Caenorhabditis elegans: one gene and its partners. The protein of the gene in region 3 purifies or fractionates together with the protein of the main gene of each other region. This does not show direct contact. Each region holds a gene or a part of one and is shown on either strand. Other genes may lie near its edges. The genes, in order: F10E7.5, Y46E12BL.2, lpd-6 and tsp-4.

Evidence for each region.
Region 1: the proteins of lpd-6 (region 3) and F10E7.5 fractionate together in Caenorhabditis elegans (co-fractionation; one large-scale study listed by BioGRID). This does not show direct contact.
Region 2: the proteins of lpd-6 (region 3) and Y46E12BL.2 fractionate together in Caenorhabditis elegans (co-fractionation; one large-scale study listed by BioGRID). This does not show direct contact.
Region 4: the proteins of lpd-6 (region 3) and tsp-4 fractionate together in Caenorhabditis elegans (co-fractionation; one large-scale study listed by BioGRID). This does not show direct contact.

Annotation. Positions count from the first base shown.
Region 1 is NC_003280.10:7,110,075-7,113,492, reverse strand, and holds F10E7.5 (Ribosome assembly factor mrt4), read right to left. Parts: upstream 1,513-3,418; 5' UTR 1,502-1,512; coding exon 1,474-1,501; intron 1,426-1,473; coding exon 1,367-1,425; intron 1,320-1,366; coding exon 1,242-1,319; intron 1,193-1,241; coding exon 1,014-1,192; intron 967-1,013; coding exon 648-966; 3' UTR 511-647; downstream 1-510. Other genes in the region: F10E7.6 (uncharacterized protein), read right to left, coding at 1-254, 302-409.
Region 2 is NC_003280.10:15,231,274-15,236,178, reverse strand, and holds the start of Y46E12BL.2 (Ribosomal RNA-processing protein 12-like conserved domain-containing protein), read right to left. Parts: upstream 3,027-4,905; 5' UTR 3,018-3,026; coding exon 2,950-3,017; intron 2,885-2,949; coding exon 2,615-2,884; intron 1,693-2,614; coding exon 1,619-1,692; intron 1,570-1,618; coding exon 1,406-1,569; intron 546-1,405; coding exon 239-545; intron 1-238. Other genes in the region: spsb-2 (SPRY domain-containing SOCS box protein 1), read right to left, coding at 3,554-3,690, 3,985-4,150, 4,529-4,611.
Region 3 is NC_003279.8:3,143,901-3,149,678, forward strand, and holds lpd-6 (Brix domain-containing protein), read right to left. Parts: upstream 3,894-5,778; 5' UTR 3,885-3,893; coding exon 3,470-3,884; intron 3,414-3,469; coding exon 3,232-3,413; intron 2,447-3,231; coding exon 2,370-2,446; intron 2,319-2,369; coding exon 2,193-2,318; intron 1,596-2,192; coding exon 1,134-1,595; intron 1,081-1,133; coding exon 621-1,080; 3' UTR 511-620; downstream 1-510. Other genes in the region: dscc-1 (Sister chromatid cohesion protein DCC1), read left to right, coding at 4,117-4,338, 4,394-4,663, 4,738-5,073.
Region 4 is NC_003282.8:12,518,568-12,522,197, forward strand, and holds tsp-4 (Tetraspanin), read right to left. Parts: upstream 1,684-3,630; 5' UTR 1,665-1,683; coding exon 1,599-1,664; intron 1,554-1,598; coding exon 1,440-1,553; intron 1,394-1,439; coding exon 1,211-1,393; intron 1,054-1,210; coding exon 955-1,053; intron 868-954; coding exon 604-867; 3' UTR 552-603; downstream 1-551. Other genes in the region: sru-13 (Serpentine Receptor, class U), read right to left, coding at 2,672-2,851, 2,901-3,098, 3,145-3,303, 3,345-3,554.

The DNA of each region.
Region 1 (3,418 bases), on a different chromosome or scaffold from region 3:
AGAAGCGCTGTATCCATTCCCTTCTCTTGAGCTTGCTTAATTTGTTCTCGAAGCATTTTTCTCTCCAAATTGGAGGTCAAAATGTGTGGTGGAGCGCTCCATATTTCGTCCAAATCTGATGGTTCTCTGAGCCAACCGAAATAGATTACAATTGCTATAAGACTTCCGATAGCTGATAGCACTTTTTTGTTGGCATACGCGTCTGATGAGTAGTAATCTGGCTTGAATTGTGGCATTCCTCGAGATCCACGACCCTGAAAGACATCTACTAAAATAATTATTTATGCTTCGAGGTAATTACTTGAAATGCGGCACTTTGTGTAAACTTCGGTTCAGGTGCGTTTCTCTTGGTTGCCAATCCTCTGGCTTGAGCTAATATTGAGGAACGAGATAACAAAACCCTCCACATGTTCCTGAACAATCAGCTTTCTCGTTGGTTTATAATCATCATTGGATATTTAATAAGTTTGGGATTTAACCTCCTTCTATATTTATCAATATTAATACTCTGAAACAAGTAACAATTTATTGGATAAACAAAAAAACAAGATGATAAACGACAATTTTCGGATGGAGTGGGTGTTTTCAAATCAAGGAGAATCAGAATCAAATCAACAAATTAACAATAAAAGGATGATTAGCAGAAGTTAAGCATCAAGCTCTTTGAAGCCGTCTTTCTTGTTCCAGTGAGCTTTGAAGATAAGACGGAATTGAGACATCTTCACTTCGAAGTGCTTCAAGATTTTAGCCTGCTCCACAGTCAGCGGTTCGCCTTCTTTGCACACCTCAAACTGTTGGTAGAGGGTGATAACTCCTTTGTCAAGTTTCGTTGGGAGACCAAGTTTTCGCAGTTGTGGCTCCATAGAGAAGGCAAATTGTGAAATTGGTCCTTCTGGTAGAACAACTGTCTCTGTGGCAACATCTCCTACACGAGCGTAATCTTCTTCTGAAGCTTCGGAGAATTCACTGAAGATAAAATGCTATTAGAGAAGCAATGGTTACTCAAAACTTACGCCTCAACTTCCTTTTTGGACATGTTGGTGAACATGAGACCGCATTGACCCTTCAGAATTGCACTGGCTTTGTGAAGCTGATTTGCGTACTCATCAGACTTCTGTTTTCCAAGAGCGATAGAAATGACATTGTTCTTTCCGAAGAAAAATCTTGAATTCTCCTTGTACTTTTGTCTGATCTGTAATTCAAAAGTAATCAAATTTTAATTCAATCTGATTTTAACTAACGGCAATGAATCGTGTGCTTCTCATGTTAGCAATCGTGAAAATGAAAAGGTTTTTGTACTGATCGACACTTGCACGGACCTGGAAAAAAATAATTATTTAGTCAGCACTTCACTCTTAAATTTTACCTCATTAACCAAATTGTTCTTTGTGTCCTTAGTCTTCTTCTTGACTTTTGTGAGTGACACTGAAATATAAAAAGTTTGCCTATAATTTAATTTTACAACAAAATTACCATTTTTATCTCTGCGGGAACGAGCCATTGTGTAGAGTACTGCTGAAAATTACAATTTAATTGCAATTTAAACTATAAAAAGCTGAAAAGTAGCAGTAACAACATAGGAAAAGTTGAAGAAATGAAGAAACAAGAAAAAAAAACAGAGAAAATGATTGTGTGCAACTGCGCGTAGTGGTGTTTGCGTACCTTTGCACACCGTAACCAAAACTAATATTCAAGTTCATTTAAAGAAGTCTCAATAGCGGAGAAGATACAAAAATTGGTTGACATTGTCAGATGCTATGATTTCTTTAAAATAGGTTTAATGAGAATGTAGTAGCGGTAACCTTAAAATAAGTTTCATCTTTTTATGGTTTCAAACGAAAAAATATCAGAAGGGGATATGTAGAATTATAGATCCAACACGAAACAACACGAAACAAAACTTTCCGAGTTCCCTATGTGAAATAATACATGCTTTCTGTATCAGTTCTTTGAGATGGAATATCCACGTTGAAGTTTCAGACAGTTTAGACTGAAAATCTAGATCAGTTTCAAGTTTCAGAAAAAAAATTGGAAGATGGTAGGTCCCTTCTATATCTGAATATTCCCATAAGATTCATCTGCATCCCAATTAGCCCAATCAAGTATCGTCAGATGAGAAGCTTCTTCTTCTCTTACTTCATCTCCTTTTCTCGTTTCCCTCACTTCTCTCAATTCACGTCGTCGCGCATACATGCTCTTCGAGCAAGAGCCATGAGCTCTCCAAATCAATAATGCCGTCTCCTCTCCATGTCGCTTTTAAATTCCACTTCTCTTTTTTTCTCTTCTTTTTCATTTCGAAATTGAAACCGAATTTCAGAGGAAATGTCGAATAAAAGATTGAGGAGGATGTAGAGACGCAGAGTCATTTTCTCGTTTTGTTGTGAGCACTGCATTTTTCTTTCTTTTTTTTTTTGGTTCATCCATGCATTCTCTCTATTTTCCAGACTCTTAAATTTGCGTTTGAACGATGAAAAACAACAGGTTACCATAAATTCATTCGATTGCCAAAACTCAATTGTTAGATAAATTCGACTAGACATAGTGCTCCATTTGAATTAAAGCGTATCATCTTTAATACATAAAATCTCAAAATGTAATTTATTCAGTTTCTTCAGTTTCCGGAAATTCCCAATTCCATATCTCAATCATCATGACTCGAATAAAAGATGGAGCACGCTTCATTGAATATTTGAAATTTTTGAAACAAAATCTTGAATTCTAAATTTTCGTTATTTAGCAGAGCTGTTTGCAAATAGTTGCAGTTGAACAAAACTACGGTTTCGTGTCTTGGCACGTGGAACTTTCCAGCTACAGTACCCGCGCGTACTCCGCTGTTCTACCTCGGATACCTCTAGTTTTAAAATATTTTTGTTGCAAATATCGTTAAAGATTCACTATTGGAACTAATTCAAATATGAAAAAGGATAATGCAATGTGAAAGATTGAAGGACTATCCTACTTGCGGGTACGGTAGCTAAAAAGTTGCACTCGTGCCAGGACCCGAAACCATGAAAACTTGAAGTTTTCCGGAAACAAGTAATTAGGTTTTTAGAAAATCAATGAATGACCAGTTCCTAGTAGGATTCTACACAAGATTGATTTGAAAGATATAAACGAAAACCACAAAACTATTCCGTTTAGAAAAAGAACACAGTATTTAGTAATTTAAATATGTATAGTGGTTTAATGGATGTTCATCAACGGTGAGCGTTATATGTTAAATTGAAAATGATTCTGTAAAATTTCTTGAAATTCAATTCTCAATAATAATAATAATAATAATGTATTTTCATAGTTCAGGCTCAAAAAAGATAGATCATATGCAACCAAAATAGTCTTACGAAAAATCGTATCAAATTCTAAAATGTCTAACTTGGTTCTATTTATTGACTTTTACTGATAAATCCTTCAGAACATA
Region 2 (4,905 bases), on a different chromosome or scaffold from region 3:
TTTTTGGATTATAAAGTGAAAATTGATTTGAAAAGTTGAATTTTAACTGTAAATTCGAAATTTTCGAGTTAGAAACACATTTTCCGTCGATTTTTTGGATTCTAAAGTGAAAACTCAATTTTTTCGATTTTTTTTCATTTTTCGCGGGATTTTTTACTTTTTGGCTGCAAAATAACTTTTTAGCAGTTATTTTTTGGTAATTTGAGACCGATTTCTTCTCTCAAGCCAAATTACGAACCCAAAAAGCTTTCAATATGATTCAAAATCAGTTGTCCAACTGCTCCGCTCGCCGGATGCAACCCGTTATCCGTCGCAGTAACCGGATCGGTAAGAACCGCCCGGATCACACGACGAGCCATCGTACGGACCCACGGCTTGTCGTGAGCCGCCAGAGCAGCCACAGAGACGAGCATATTCCGCGTATTGGCGCTGGACCAGACGGACGCTTGCTGGGCACGGAGGATGATTCCGAGCACTGAAATGAGGTTTTTCAACGCGGATCCTTCGGTGCTATCGACGTTTTCTAGGAGTTTTGTGTAGAGAATCTGCAAATTATTGATTTTTTTAAATTATAGGTGGATTAAAAACATGCCTATGGGATCACAATGACCGAATATCATGATTTAAAAAATCCAAAAAATTTTTCTAAATTTTATATGATTTTTTTTTGAAAATTGCAAATACCCCATTTCTCCCCTAATTCCTATTTAAATTCCCGCGAATTGGATTCGTGCGGTAGAGCGCTGGCACGTTTTCTAAATTTATTTATTTTATTTTTTGTTATTTATTTTCGTCCGATTTTTCATGTTTTCAGTGTATTTTTGCTTGAAATTTGAAGGAAAATTTGAGATAAATGCAAATAATTGATGAAAAAGCAACGAGACACAGTCTGAAAAAAGAAGAACTAACGATTTTAAACGACATCGAATCAGAATTGGCTGATTTCCTAGATTTACGATTTACGCATTTACGCAAATCTATTACGCAAATCGCAAATCTAGGAAATCAGCCAATTCTGGTTCGATGTCGTTTAAAATCGTTAGTTCTTCTTTTTTCAGACTGTGTCTCGTTGCTTTTTCATCAATTATTTGCATTTATCTCAAATTTTCCTTCAAATTTCAAGCAAAAATACACTGAAAACATGAAAAATCGGACGAAAATAAATAGCAAAAAATAAAATAAACAAAATTAAAAAACGTGCAAGCGCGCTCTATCGAACAAATCCAATTGGCGGAAATTTAAATAGAAATTAGGGGAAAATTGTGATTTTTCCAATTTTCAAAAAATCATATAAAATCTGGAAAATTTTTTTGAACATTTTTATCATGATATTTGGTCATTGTGACCCCATAGGCATGTTTTAAAGCAATTTCCCCACTGCCGCTGCTTCACAAAAAGCCCATACCTGCACAAATCTGTGAAACTGAGCTTGAAGCACCTCTTTCGGCACCTTTCTCACAATCAGATGAAGCAGATAAGCGATTGCTGCCGTTCTTCTGGGATTTCCCAGCGAGGATCCTTCCAGCGCGGTCATCAGAGCCGCACAGTACTCAACGTCGGATTCTTTGCCTGAAAATCCCTAATTTTTAGGCCTAAAATTATGGGGGAATTAAACTACCATCCCGCTCTTTGATGACTTCAGCGATTGCTGCCAAAACCGAGACAACCTCTGCTTGAATAGAGGACCCAGATCTGAAGAAATAAATCTATCAGTCTACGGCTCGTGCTTTGGAAAAGAGATTCAAGAGTTTAAAATCAAATTTGAAAATAAAAAATTCCCGGTCTCCTGGAGTGTTATAAATAATTATTAGAGCGCGCTCGTGCGGCACCTCACGAACTCCAGAAGTCGCGGGAATTCGTTCCGCGGGGACAGCAGTTTTTTTGCTATTTTTGGCTCCTATAGGAAATATTTTTGATTTTTTGTTTTATAATATTCTTGAGAAGCATCATCCGAATTGAAAATGTGTAAAATTATGAAATTTAGCCGAAAACTGAAAGTTTTACAGAAGGAAGCCACTACAGTTTTAAAAAAATGTATCAGGATCGCCAGTTTTGCGTTTTATGTGTCGTAAAATATGTCATTTTGTAGAGAATTAAAAGTTTCATACGAATTTTCGTTTGAAAATTTAAAATTGCTTTTATTAAAAGCTTAAAAATTTAAGAAACAAGATTTTAACGTAAAATTGTTGATTTTTTGAATATTTTTATATTAGAAATTAAAGAATTAAAATTTCAAACGAAAATTCTCATGAAACTTTTAATTCTCTACAAAATGACATATTTTACGACGCATAACTCGCAAAACTGGCAATCCTGAAACATTTTTTTAAAAACTATAATGACTTCCTTCTGTAAAACTTTCAGTTTTCGGGCAAATTTCATAATTTTACACATTTTCAATTCGGATGATGCTTCTCAACAATATTATAAAACAAAAAATCAAAAATATTTCTTATAGAAGCCAAAAATAGCAAAAAACTGCTGTCCCCGCTGAACGAATTCCCGCGAATTCTGGAGTTCGTGAGGTGCCGAGCCAGCGCGCTCTAATAATTATGAACACTCCAGGAGGTCGTGAAATTTGTTGAATTTTTGGAAAAAACGCTAAAATTCTCACTTCCAGACCCGATTGACAGAATCAAACGCAGGATTTGTGCAAGCCGTGAATCCGGAGAGCTTAGACAAGCCTCCCTCGGAAACCATGCTTTTCGACGAAGAGCCGATATCCATCGAATGAATCGGAAGAGCCGAGAGCAGCATATCGTCGGCGGCGGCGGTGTTCATGAGACGATCCTCGACGGCAAGCATGCCGGCTCCGCCGAAAGAAGCATTTCTAGCGGCATTGGCAGCGGCGCGATGCTTGCTTCTCGTTGGGTTGCTTTCACATCTGAAAAAACAAAAAAACAATTAAATTTAATTATATTCAACGAATTTATCGACGTTTTCACTCACGCTGATCCTGAATTAAATTTCGCTGCTCCCTTCTTACTTGTACGATGACGGAAATTGCCACCTCCCATTGTTTTTATCTGAAAAAATGACAAATTTGATGGAAAATTCCTAAAACAAGGCGATAAACTGTTGGAAAACGATGAAAACTGATAATTTGAGTGCGCAAAAATTTATTTTATTGATTTTAAGTAAAAAATAACTGAAAAAAACCTTTAAAATGCAAGATTCTCAGCAAGAAATCGGCGAAGAATAGCGAAAAAAAATAAATTGTTCGGTTTTCGTGGCGAGACCCGAGGTGTCCAGAGGCCGCGTCCCCCCGCGTTTTCTAGGCCGTCACGCATTGAAATTGGCGGAAACTCAAATCGTGAAGCGATATTGAACGACAAAAGCTTTTGGAAAAGAGTCAAAATATTTTAAAACATTGTAAAACAAAATTCCAATTTTCATTCAGGTATAAAAGCAATATATTCAATATATAAATCTGAGTAATTCACAATTTGACAGCGAAATTTGCAAAAAAAAAAGTGGTGAAAAACCGTGGGGATTTGTGGGTTAGTGGAAAAGAGGAGAAAAATGTGAATTTTTGGCGAGAAAATGATCAATATCACTCAATCTCATACAACAAATATTCCTTCATAACCGGCGGGATCATCAGCGGCTTGATGCGTTTGTCGGGGTCTGGTCCCATTATGCTTCGGAAACGACGTCGACACAGTTCGAACAACGGTAGCATCTCGACTGCTGAAAAAAAAAAACAAGAATTTCGATTTGGTTCTGGCTTTTCTCGAATTTTTACAACTAAAATTTAGCTAAAACCGAGCCGAGCCGCGACGCGACGCGACACGCAAAGCGCCGTAAATCTACACCGGCCGTGGCCGATTCACAGCGCGTTGCGTGTCGCGTCGCGGCTCGGTTTTATTTGTAAAACATGATTTTAGAAACCGCGATTTCTCAGAAAAGAAACTCCGAGAAGGAGATCTACAAAAAGACAGCCATCACACCCTTTTTTCTGCGCCGCACGTTTACAAAACTCACGTTCCAGTGATCCCAGATGTGTCATGGTAATCTCACAGTCTCCATAAAGAGTCGCCACAGCTGGGTATAATCGTTTTCCCCGGAGATTTTGGAATACAACTCCGAGGTACTCGTTGTCTGTGGCGAATGACAGATTTCCTTGCTCCATGTCCAGAATGCAATAGATCTGAAAATTGATTGTTTTTGGGTTTTTGATCAAAAATTTCAAAAAAAAAAATGTTTTTTTTGTTTTTTATAGCAAAAATGGTTTTTTTGGTATTTTTTGGCAAAAAATTGGTTTTTTTTGTTACAAAATTGAGATTTTTTGGGTTTTTTTAAAGCAAAAAGAGATTTTTTGCCAAAAATAGGTATTTTATTGGCAAAAGATAATTTTTGCCACTTTTTTTTTGGCAAAATTGAGATTTCGGTTTTTTTGACAAAACTTGATTTTTTTGGGTTTTTCAAAACGAAAATTGATTTTTTATCTGGCGAAAATGGTTTTTTTTTTGGGTTTTATGGCCAGAAATTGATTTTTTCGGTTTTTTTTTTTGGGAAAATTGTTCACCTTTTCAGGAACATTGAAACCATCTCGACCATTCCCGTACGGATACTTCCACTTCCACGAACCGTAGTGACATTCTCGTGTAGCTGAAAAAATTGAAGAGTTTGGGTTTTCAATCGCTTTTTCTAAATTTTCTTTTTGTATTTAACATTTAAAACTGGCCAATTTGCATAATATTTGCCTATGGGGTCACAATGACCGAATACCATGATTAAAAATTCAAAATAATTTTCTAGATTTTATATGATTTTTTGAAAATTGAAAAAATCTCACTTTTCCCCTAATTCCTTTTTGAATTTCCGCCAATTGATTCGTTCGATGGAGCGCGCTTGCATTTAAAAAATTTTTTTTTCATCAATTTTTCGCATTTTTGACTGATT
Region 3 (5,778 bases):
AGCGAAGACTACAGTAATTCTTTAAATGGATACAGTAGCGCTTGTGCCGATTTACGGACCCGATTTTCGAAACGGATTAAATTGATTTATTTATCGATAGAATATTAAAACTAAGCAAATGATACGAGAAAATTCGAAAAGAAATTCATTCCCGTAAATTGACACAAGCACTACTGTAGCCATTTAAAAAATTACTGTAGTTTTCGCTGCGAGATATTTTGAGCGTCGGATATGTTGTGCAGTACGCATTCTCAGAATTTTGTGTTCCCGTGATACATACAGGCCTGAAATTGTGAAATTTATTGATTTTTCAATGAAATAAAGCAGGAAACTAGCTAATTTAAAGTTTTAAAGCAATTAGCTCCTTTGATGTGACAAGTTTGCGTCCGTGAGCCCAATCTGTGAAAGCATCACAAATTACGCGCAAACATGATTTTTCTCGGTAAAATTGTTAAGTCCCACATTTTTTCAGCGACATTCCTGATTCTAAATTAGCGGGTAAACAGGAAAACAGTCTGATAAATTCATGATTATAACGATAACAATAACGAACATTTAAAAAAATAAAAATGGAGAATGGAGAAACAACAAATTGCAAAAAACAACAACTGATATCAGAATTAACGACGACCTCCTCGGAAACCGCCGCCTCGATCTCCACCTCGCCCACCACGGAATCCACCACCTCCGCCGCGTCCTCTGAATCCTCCTCGATCGCCTCCACGGAAACCACCGCCACCACGTCCTCCGAATCCACCTCTAAATCCTCCATCACGATCTCCCGATCTTCCACGGAAGCCTCCACGATCTCCACCACGATCTGATGAACGTCCTCTGAAGCCTCCTCGGTCGCCACCACCTCCACGGAAGCCACCACGATCCACGGATCTTCCTCTAAAGCCACCTCCATCACGATCGCGACCTCTGAAGCCTCCACGATCTCCGCCACGTCCGCGGAAGCCTCCACGATCTTCTCCTCTTCCTCTGAATCCACCTCGGAATCCCCCACGACTATCCTCATATCTTGGACGCTTCGAGGCTTCAGATGTACCCCATTCCTCGTTGGCACGCTTCAGATCTCTGCAAAAATATAAAAAATCAATTAAAAAGTCTTCAATTACGGGGATCTATACCTTTCCCGATTCATCGCAATCTCTCTATCCTTCTCCTTCTGATTCTCAACTTCTTCAACTTGTCCAGTAGCGGCAGCTTGCTTACGAGCAGCATTCTCTCGAATCGCCTTCACCTCTGCCTCCTCAGCATCCTGTTGCTCCTTGACAATCGTAAGTCTTCGAATGACACGTTGCTCACTTTCCTGCTCACGACGCTTCTTCATCTGCTTCTTCTTGTCCATATGAGCTCTCAGTTTTATCAGTTCATCTGGAGTCTTCGCATTATGCTTGTGATAGAGCACCTCTCCCTCATCGATTCCTTCTTCAATTTTGACGAGTTCCAGAGTCAGTCGGGGTCCGATCTCGTGAAGACGGACGTTGCTCTTCTGGCCAACTCCGCAGCCACGTCCTTCTGAAATGTCCTGTGGTAGTTCGACTTCTTGCTGATCTCCTTCGAATTCGGAATCGCTGAGCTGTCCGGGGCTGGAAAAAGAAGGGAAATTTAAATAAATTGAATATTTTTTAATAATAATTTTGTGATTTATCTGAAAATATCGTTTATTTCAATTGGAAAAATTCGAAAACAGTCCTCGAAAATCGTCTAAAAATTGTTTTTTCCCGGAAATTTCCAATTTTCAGACCATTTTAGAGGTTTTTTTTCAATTTTTCGATCTGAAATAAACGCGCGATGCCTCCCAAAATTAATCATTTTATGAAAAATTTGAATTTTTTTAATGGAAATTTATTAATAACATTAGAAAAATTCAATTTCGTTCGAATTCTGAACTGTCCGGGGCTGGAAAAGGATGATTTTTGAAGAATTATTGAATTTTCAGAGAGAAAAAATTCAAATTCTTCAGAAAAACCATAAATTTTGAGAGGCATCACGTTTATTTCAGTTGGAAAAATTGAAAAAAAAAATGCTCAAAAATCGTCTGAGTATAGTTTTTTCCCGAAAATTTTCCAGTTTTCTGACCAGTTTTGAGGGGTTTTCCTATTTTTAAAACTGATATGAACGTTTTTTTCAGATAAATCACTGAATTTCAGGCTCAGTTTGTAGAATTTCTGAACAATTCTCACTTCAAAAAGTAGTCACTGATGTCTTTGTAGGTACTCAAATTCGGAATATTCTTTCCCATCGTCTTTTCCGCTTGCATAAGCTTTTTCACAGACTTGTTGAGGCCTGAGGCGACGACTCGAATTGCGCTGAAAAAAAAATTTATATAATTATATTTTAGAGAAATTCATAGCACTTACAAATGCCTCATTTGAATTTCGTCAGTTTCTTCGTCATAACTGACGATCAGGCAGCGTTTCAGGTTTCCAAGTTGAATCTGAAATTTTTTGTATAATTTTTCTGAAACTTGACAAAAAAATCGATTTAAAGGTGGACTACGATCAGGGGGAAAATTGCTTTAAAACACGCCTATGGGGCCACAATGACCGAATATCATGATAAAAAATTTCAAAAAATTTTTCTAGATTTTATAAGATTTTTTGAAAATTGGAAAAATCACAGTTTTCACCTAATTATTTTTGAATTTTCGCCAATTGAATTTGTTCGGTGGAGCGCGCTTGCATTATTTTTTAAAATTAATTTTATTTATTCTCGTTATTTGACTGATTTTCTTCATTTTCTATGTTTTTTCTCGGAAAATGGAAGAAATAAACAAGACAAATGCAAAATGTTTGTTAAAAACTAATTGAAAATGAGTAAAACTGAAATATACTAATTTCAGGCTTGTTGTCGTCGGAACTCATAATTTTACAGTTTTATGCTTTTTCAGTTACTTTTAAACAAACATTTTGCATTTTTCTTGTTTATTTCTTCCATTTTCCGAGGAAAAAACATAGAAAATGAAGAAAATCAGTCAAATAACGAGAATAAATAAAACTAATTAAAAAAAAATAATGCAAGCGCGCTCCACCGAACAAATTCAATTGGCGGAAATTCAAAAATAATTAGGTGAAAACTGTGATTTTTCCAATTTTCAAAAAATCATATAAACTCTAGAACATTTTTTTGAATTTTTTATAATGATATTCGGTCATTGTGACCACATAGGCGTGTTTTAAAGCAATTTTCCCCCTGATCGTAGTCCATCTTTAAAAATTTTACCGTATCGACATTAATGGAAGGGAACATATTCTGAATAAAAGTCTGAACCAATGAGAGATGCTTCTGCGTTCCGTCGCCAAATCCGTTCATCACAACGAGCGGCGAGGATTTGAACAGTTTATCAGTGGCAACTGGTCGCTTTTGACAATTAACAACGTGGCGAGCCAGGGAGTATTGTTTAACTGGAAATTAAAATAATTAAATTACTGAATTTTATTTAAAATCGATAATTGGCAACCTTTAAACGATAACGTCGGTCCTTGGGAGAAACGCATCATTCTCAGCTGCAAGGAAGCATCACTGGAAGTGAGAACCATCATATTGGTGACTCCAAGTACCGCACCGTTCACGATAAAATCCTTGATATTGTTTCTTTTGAGAATTTTCAAGTTTTTCGCTGTATTCGGCTCGACGAGATTTCTCAAATCCGACTCCAGGCCCTTCACGTACTTTCCGACGTCTCCGCGATGAATAACCAAGCAATGAGGCTGTCTTGCTAGTTCAATTTCTTTATTTTCCAAAAACTTTTGCTTCTGTAGCTTCTTCACGAATTTTTCCTGATGATAAAGGGCATCTTTTTGACTTAGAGCATCTACATTTCCGCGATTATGAGCTCCAGACTTTCTCTGCTTCTTTCCTTTCTTCATTTTCATTTTTTCGAACTGAAATTTATAAAGATTATTGTTAAATTAAGTGTATTTAGGTTAGAAAATGGAACGAAAAAAATTGCGAAAAAAAAAAAATACGAAGTGTGCAGTTTGCCGTCAAAGTGTTTGCGTCCAATGCGCCATAGCTGACGACAAGTTTTTTACCGCGATTTCCGCCAATTTCAAATTAAACTTTAAATCGATTTTCTCAGTTTCTGTACAGATCTGTTTCCAGATAATGAATCGCTTCGTCACAAGATCCAAGCCTACTCAACCTACTAAACGTGTTGCTCCAGCTCCGGCAAGTGGAAATGAGGAAAATATCGTTGCGCCTGAACCTCAAAAAACGCTCGAGGAGCCCTCTGTAATGGAAAAGCTGCAGCACGCAATACGAGAGAAGGATGCTCAATTCACATTTGATATTTTATCGAAAAATAGGCCATTTGATCAGGCGATGAATGTAAGCTTTCTTGGAGCATTAGTTTTTTTTTGGGGAAAAAAATGAAAATTTTCAGAAGACCATGACAAAAATGGAATTTTCGCCGGATTACTCCGATCCTTCCTCAGAATTTATGCTTCTCTCAGTGGATGAATCAGTCATCGGAGCCTTTAGTGAAGGTCAAAGCCTCACAATTCGCGGAGATTCAACTGACGACGCGGTTCTGTGCACAGACAACGCCACATTTCCCATGAAAATTATCGAATCCGCCACAACGGTTCTTCTTCTTCATAAATGCCTGGAAGCTCCAGATTCACCGACGCTTCCGAATTTTCAGGTGAAAACTGTCAGTTGTTTTTATTTTTATTTATTTTAGTTTATTCGAAATTCAAAATTTTTTAAAAATTTAATTAAATTCAGATCGGTGGAAAATGCTTCTCAACAGGCGAGCTGTGTCCCCAAGTGGATGTTTTGAGCATCGGACGGCTTAAGGATATGCTCCGCGAGCAGGAGCTACGTTGGGACTGGAAGGATCGTGAGGAAGAGGAGAATCTAAAGGGTTATAAGCTTCGAGACCTGCTGAATAGTGTTCAAATGAGTGTTGAAGAAGTGAAAATTGCACTCAATGATTTGCCGGTTGTAAAGTTTTCAAGCGGAAGATATCGATATTTATCTCATAAATATCGTGGAGAAATGCTCGGATTAATTGTGGAGCTTCTCGATGAAGATTCAATCGGTGATGTGAAGCTGGAGAAGGTAGAATAATCGCCATATCTTACGCGCAAGATATCCCGCCGGGAAGAGACGAAATTACTGTATCCGTGTCGATTTACGAGCCGCGCTTGCATCATTATTCGAAATTAATCTTTTTTTTTGAATTTCGACCAGCAATTTTTCATTTTCAGATGTTTTTCGTATTTTTATTTTTAGATTTTTTCAGTATTTTCCGGAAAAAAAACTGAATTTTTCAATTTTCCGTTGTTTTTTCCCAACAAAAATCGTAAAAACCGAGAATTTCAGTTTTTCCGAGGTTTTGCTGTTAAAAAAATAGAATAAAAGACCCAGAAACTCCAGAAATTTCAGATTTTTTTCGGTATTTTCCGGAAAAAAAACTGAATTTTTCAATTTTTCTGTTGTTTTTTTCAAACAGAAATCGAAAAAAAATCCGGAAAAACACGAAAATTCAGTTTTTCGGAGTTTTTTCTCTGTGTTTCCAAAAAAAAAAAAACATTAAAAACCCCAAAAAAAAACACGAAAATTTCAGTTTTTCAGAGTTTTTTCAAAAAAAAATTTAAAAAATTTAATAAAGACTCACATTTCTGAGAAAAATTGAATTTCAAAATTTCTCAAAAATAAATTATTTATTGAAGAATCCATTAAAAATACGCAAAACGACTGAAAATGAAAATTGCTGGTCGAAGTTAAAAAAAAATTAAATTCGAATAATGATTCGCGGCCCGT
Region 4 (3,630 bases), on a different chromosome or scaffold from region 3:
TCTAGGTCCTTATCAGTTTGGTGCCATTTATTTTTGGTTTAGTGGAAATTTGTTTGATGTTTGATAGAGCTTTCAACTTAAAATCAATGTTTCCAAAATTTCAGATAAAATTAATATAAGGTCTTATTGGAAATTTATTATTTTGGTTCATCCTTTGCACTACTTCAACTTTGTTGCTCTTTATAAAACTGGAAAAAAATGAAAAACCAACGAAATAGTGCTCCCGTTCAAAAAGCTGAGCTATCGCTTTCTCTAACGACTTTATCAATGCTGTTTTCATTTATTTTTCATTTTGTCGGAGGGGTAAGCATTTCCTTTAGAAATTGCTTTCAATATTATATTTTTTCAGCTAATATTTATAATCAAACAGAAAATGTTTAAATATTTATTTTGTAAATTTTAGTTTTCAAGAAAAAGGCAGCGTCGTCATGATTTTGAAATAGGTACTACCCGCCTGCATTTGTGCCTTTCTGGTGACGTTGTTGTAGAATAGATAGCCCAGCTTTTTGAATTTATCTTATATCAGGAAATATTTGAGAGGCAATACTGAAGATGTTTTGAAAGTTTATTAACATGAAAGTAACAAAAAACTGGAATTTAAATTCATCCAACTTTCTGAATTGCACAAGGTTCTCTTCTGATTCTATCAATGACTATTGCGGCAAAAATCATCAATCCAAGCTCAATCAACATGCAGATCAATCCAAGGAAAGCAACTTGGAGTGTTCCATCTTCAAATACTGCCCAAGTGATGAGAGCACATCCTTCCATACGTACCATTGCATTCTTTGTACCACATTCACAAGATGTTGGAAAATTGCCGGCTGGTAAAAAGTCTTCACAACCGTTTGCTCCACAGCATTTCAACTGAAAACATGCTAGAAATATCAAAAACAAGTTTGAATTGGGCATTACAAATGAGTTTAAGATATAACATATTTTGGGGAAACTTACACTAGTGTGAACCCAATCAAGAGTGTTTTTAGTTCGTGAATTGTTATGATAGTTTGCAACCAATTCGTCACGATAAACACCGACAAACTCTCTTCGAAGCTGAAAAACGTATTTTATAAGATGGAAAAGAGATTAAGCTAAAATCGACATTTTTCTTTTATTCAATTAAAACTTTTTGTTGTACTTTTTGGTAGTTTATTGCAAAAAATTATGTTTAAGTTTAGTGAAATCTTCACACGAGTTTAATTAAACTCACATGATCTTTATTCGCTAAAAACATCACAATTGCCACAATTTTTACGACGAAAACTAAAAAAACCAATACGAGATGTACGGACAACGCAGTTTTGCTTCCAAAGCACACTGCGAAGCAGCCGCATAAACCGAGAACTACCATACATCCCCCAATCATTATAGAAATTGTCCGGTATACATAAAACTGAAAATACATTCTCAATTTTGGAGAAGCAATTGGAAATTATTACCCATTCAATATTGTCCACACTCAAAAAACTAACAAGACTTGTTCTGGCAACTGTTACTTCGAATTGGTGAAGTATCATCCATATAGAGTACCAAGTTATCATTACTCCAACAACCTATAGTTTAGCTACATTTTTTACATAAAGCCAAAATTGACTCACGATTAGTCCCAAGTTGAGGATGAAGAAAAGGAAATTGGCTAATTTCCCACAAACATTGTAGGCCATGTTTTCTTCTGTGCTGAAAGCTGATTTGTCTTATATTACAATTGCTTTACTTAGACAGATTATATCTCGGTTGCTCTTGGTTTTATTTGAAAAAAAAACGTATTCAACTTTTAAGATATACAGAAAGTTTTGGCACGTATTTTGTCTGTTCATATTTAGGCATCCGGGATATAGGATGCCAAAGTCGGGAAAAATGGGTGTGATAAAAAGTTGCTGTAAATGCGCAACCGACATCAATAGCGCCGTCACTAAAACGCCTGCCTACACGGAACTTTGCCTACTTGAGCACGATTTTTCGTTACGCCAAGGACAGGTAGGGTTTATCTTAGAAGATGTTAGGATTACTGTAAGCCAAATATGAATGTAATGTTTTACCAGCTACCCGTAGGTGTATATATATACGTAGTTGCAAAATATAATGACTAGTAACCTAAATTGTTGTTTGTATTTTTTTCAATTAAAAATAACAAAAGGAGTTTTTCTGATATGAGACAGAGAACATTAAATTTGCAGGAAAAACGTTTTGCCTAACAGCTAAAGAAATGTTTTGTTGAGAGGTTTAACTAGTCCTCAAAATGGCTTATAAAGCAACTTAAATACATTTCAGACTGATTATGAAATGTTTGGCGTCGTTGTTAATGGAAACCAAGCTAATAGATGATGTGAAGCAAAAAATGGAAAGTTCAAAAACTCAACTGCGCACACATTGGGTACGTGATTTTATTACGAAACCTAGTTTGAGCAGACTAGACATTTTGCTCTGACATCTAACTTCATATCTTGCTAGAAAACACATGCTACTTCTAATGTAATAATATTAATCACAGACCCCTTCTAGCATGAAATCGTTTGATAAAGGTGTGGGTTCAAATTGATGATTATAAAAAAAAACATTATTTCAATATTTGGATACTTATACAACATAGTTCCTCATGATAATGTCATGATAAAAACTTCTCAGTCCATAACTTTCATTTTTAAATTTTTACAAAATGTGAATATATTTATTAAGTTGTATGAATAGTTCCAATTTTCGATGCATCTTTCCAAAATAAAATTTTCTGTTTTTTAAATGCAGGATGTGTCATATAGAAGATCCACGGACCAACACAAATCTCACAATCATTTCCAAATGGCCGAAGAGCAATGAAATATGCTGTCAGTGATGGAAATATTAAGAATATTAACTGAAAAAAGAATGTTTTCAAAGAAAATTAAACATTTTTATAGACTTACTGCACATGCCAGGTTTGTCAGAAACGATAAAAGCATGGATAATGTTGTCAGCGATAGAGATAATTCCGCTCGTTGGAGAATTGCACTTTTTCGATTATTTTTTAACTTCTTCAGTTTTATTAAAAGTGTTAAATTTGAAATAATGCATAGGAGAAGCCAAATGGCCAAATTGAGCACTAAGCCATTTATCAACTTTATCTGAAAAATTTGAATTTTTCGATAAATAAATTTTAAATTTGCTAACATCAAACCAGTTCCCCGTAAACCAAATAAAAATAGAACCAAATTTATAAGGGCCCAAAAGTTGTCGACATGATCCTAGAGCCGGTATCAGGGAGAATGTAAATATGAATGGGTAGAGGTAGATGAATGGAATTGCAAAATTAGATAGCCGGGCGCATAGCTAAAAAAAATTTAGCAATTGAATATTAAAACATGAGTTACTTGATTATGTCTGCGCGGGAAATAAACGGGAATCAATCGTAACGTTGATAAAAGGAATGGAAATAGCCATGAAACATAAGTGAAATATATAGAAAAGAAAAATAAGACTTTTAGGAAATGATTTGGTTGTTGAGATGCACACCAAGATGTCATGATTCCGGTGAATGGGAGACGGATAGTGATATAATCAGATATCATGTAAAATACGCTCTGAAAATAAGAACCATTTCATGAACTTTATGTGTTTTTGAAGTTAATCTTGTCGCTGCGATGGGTAAATTGCTTT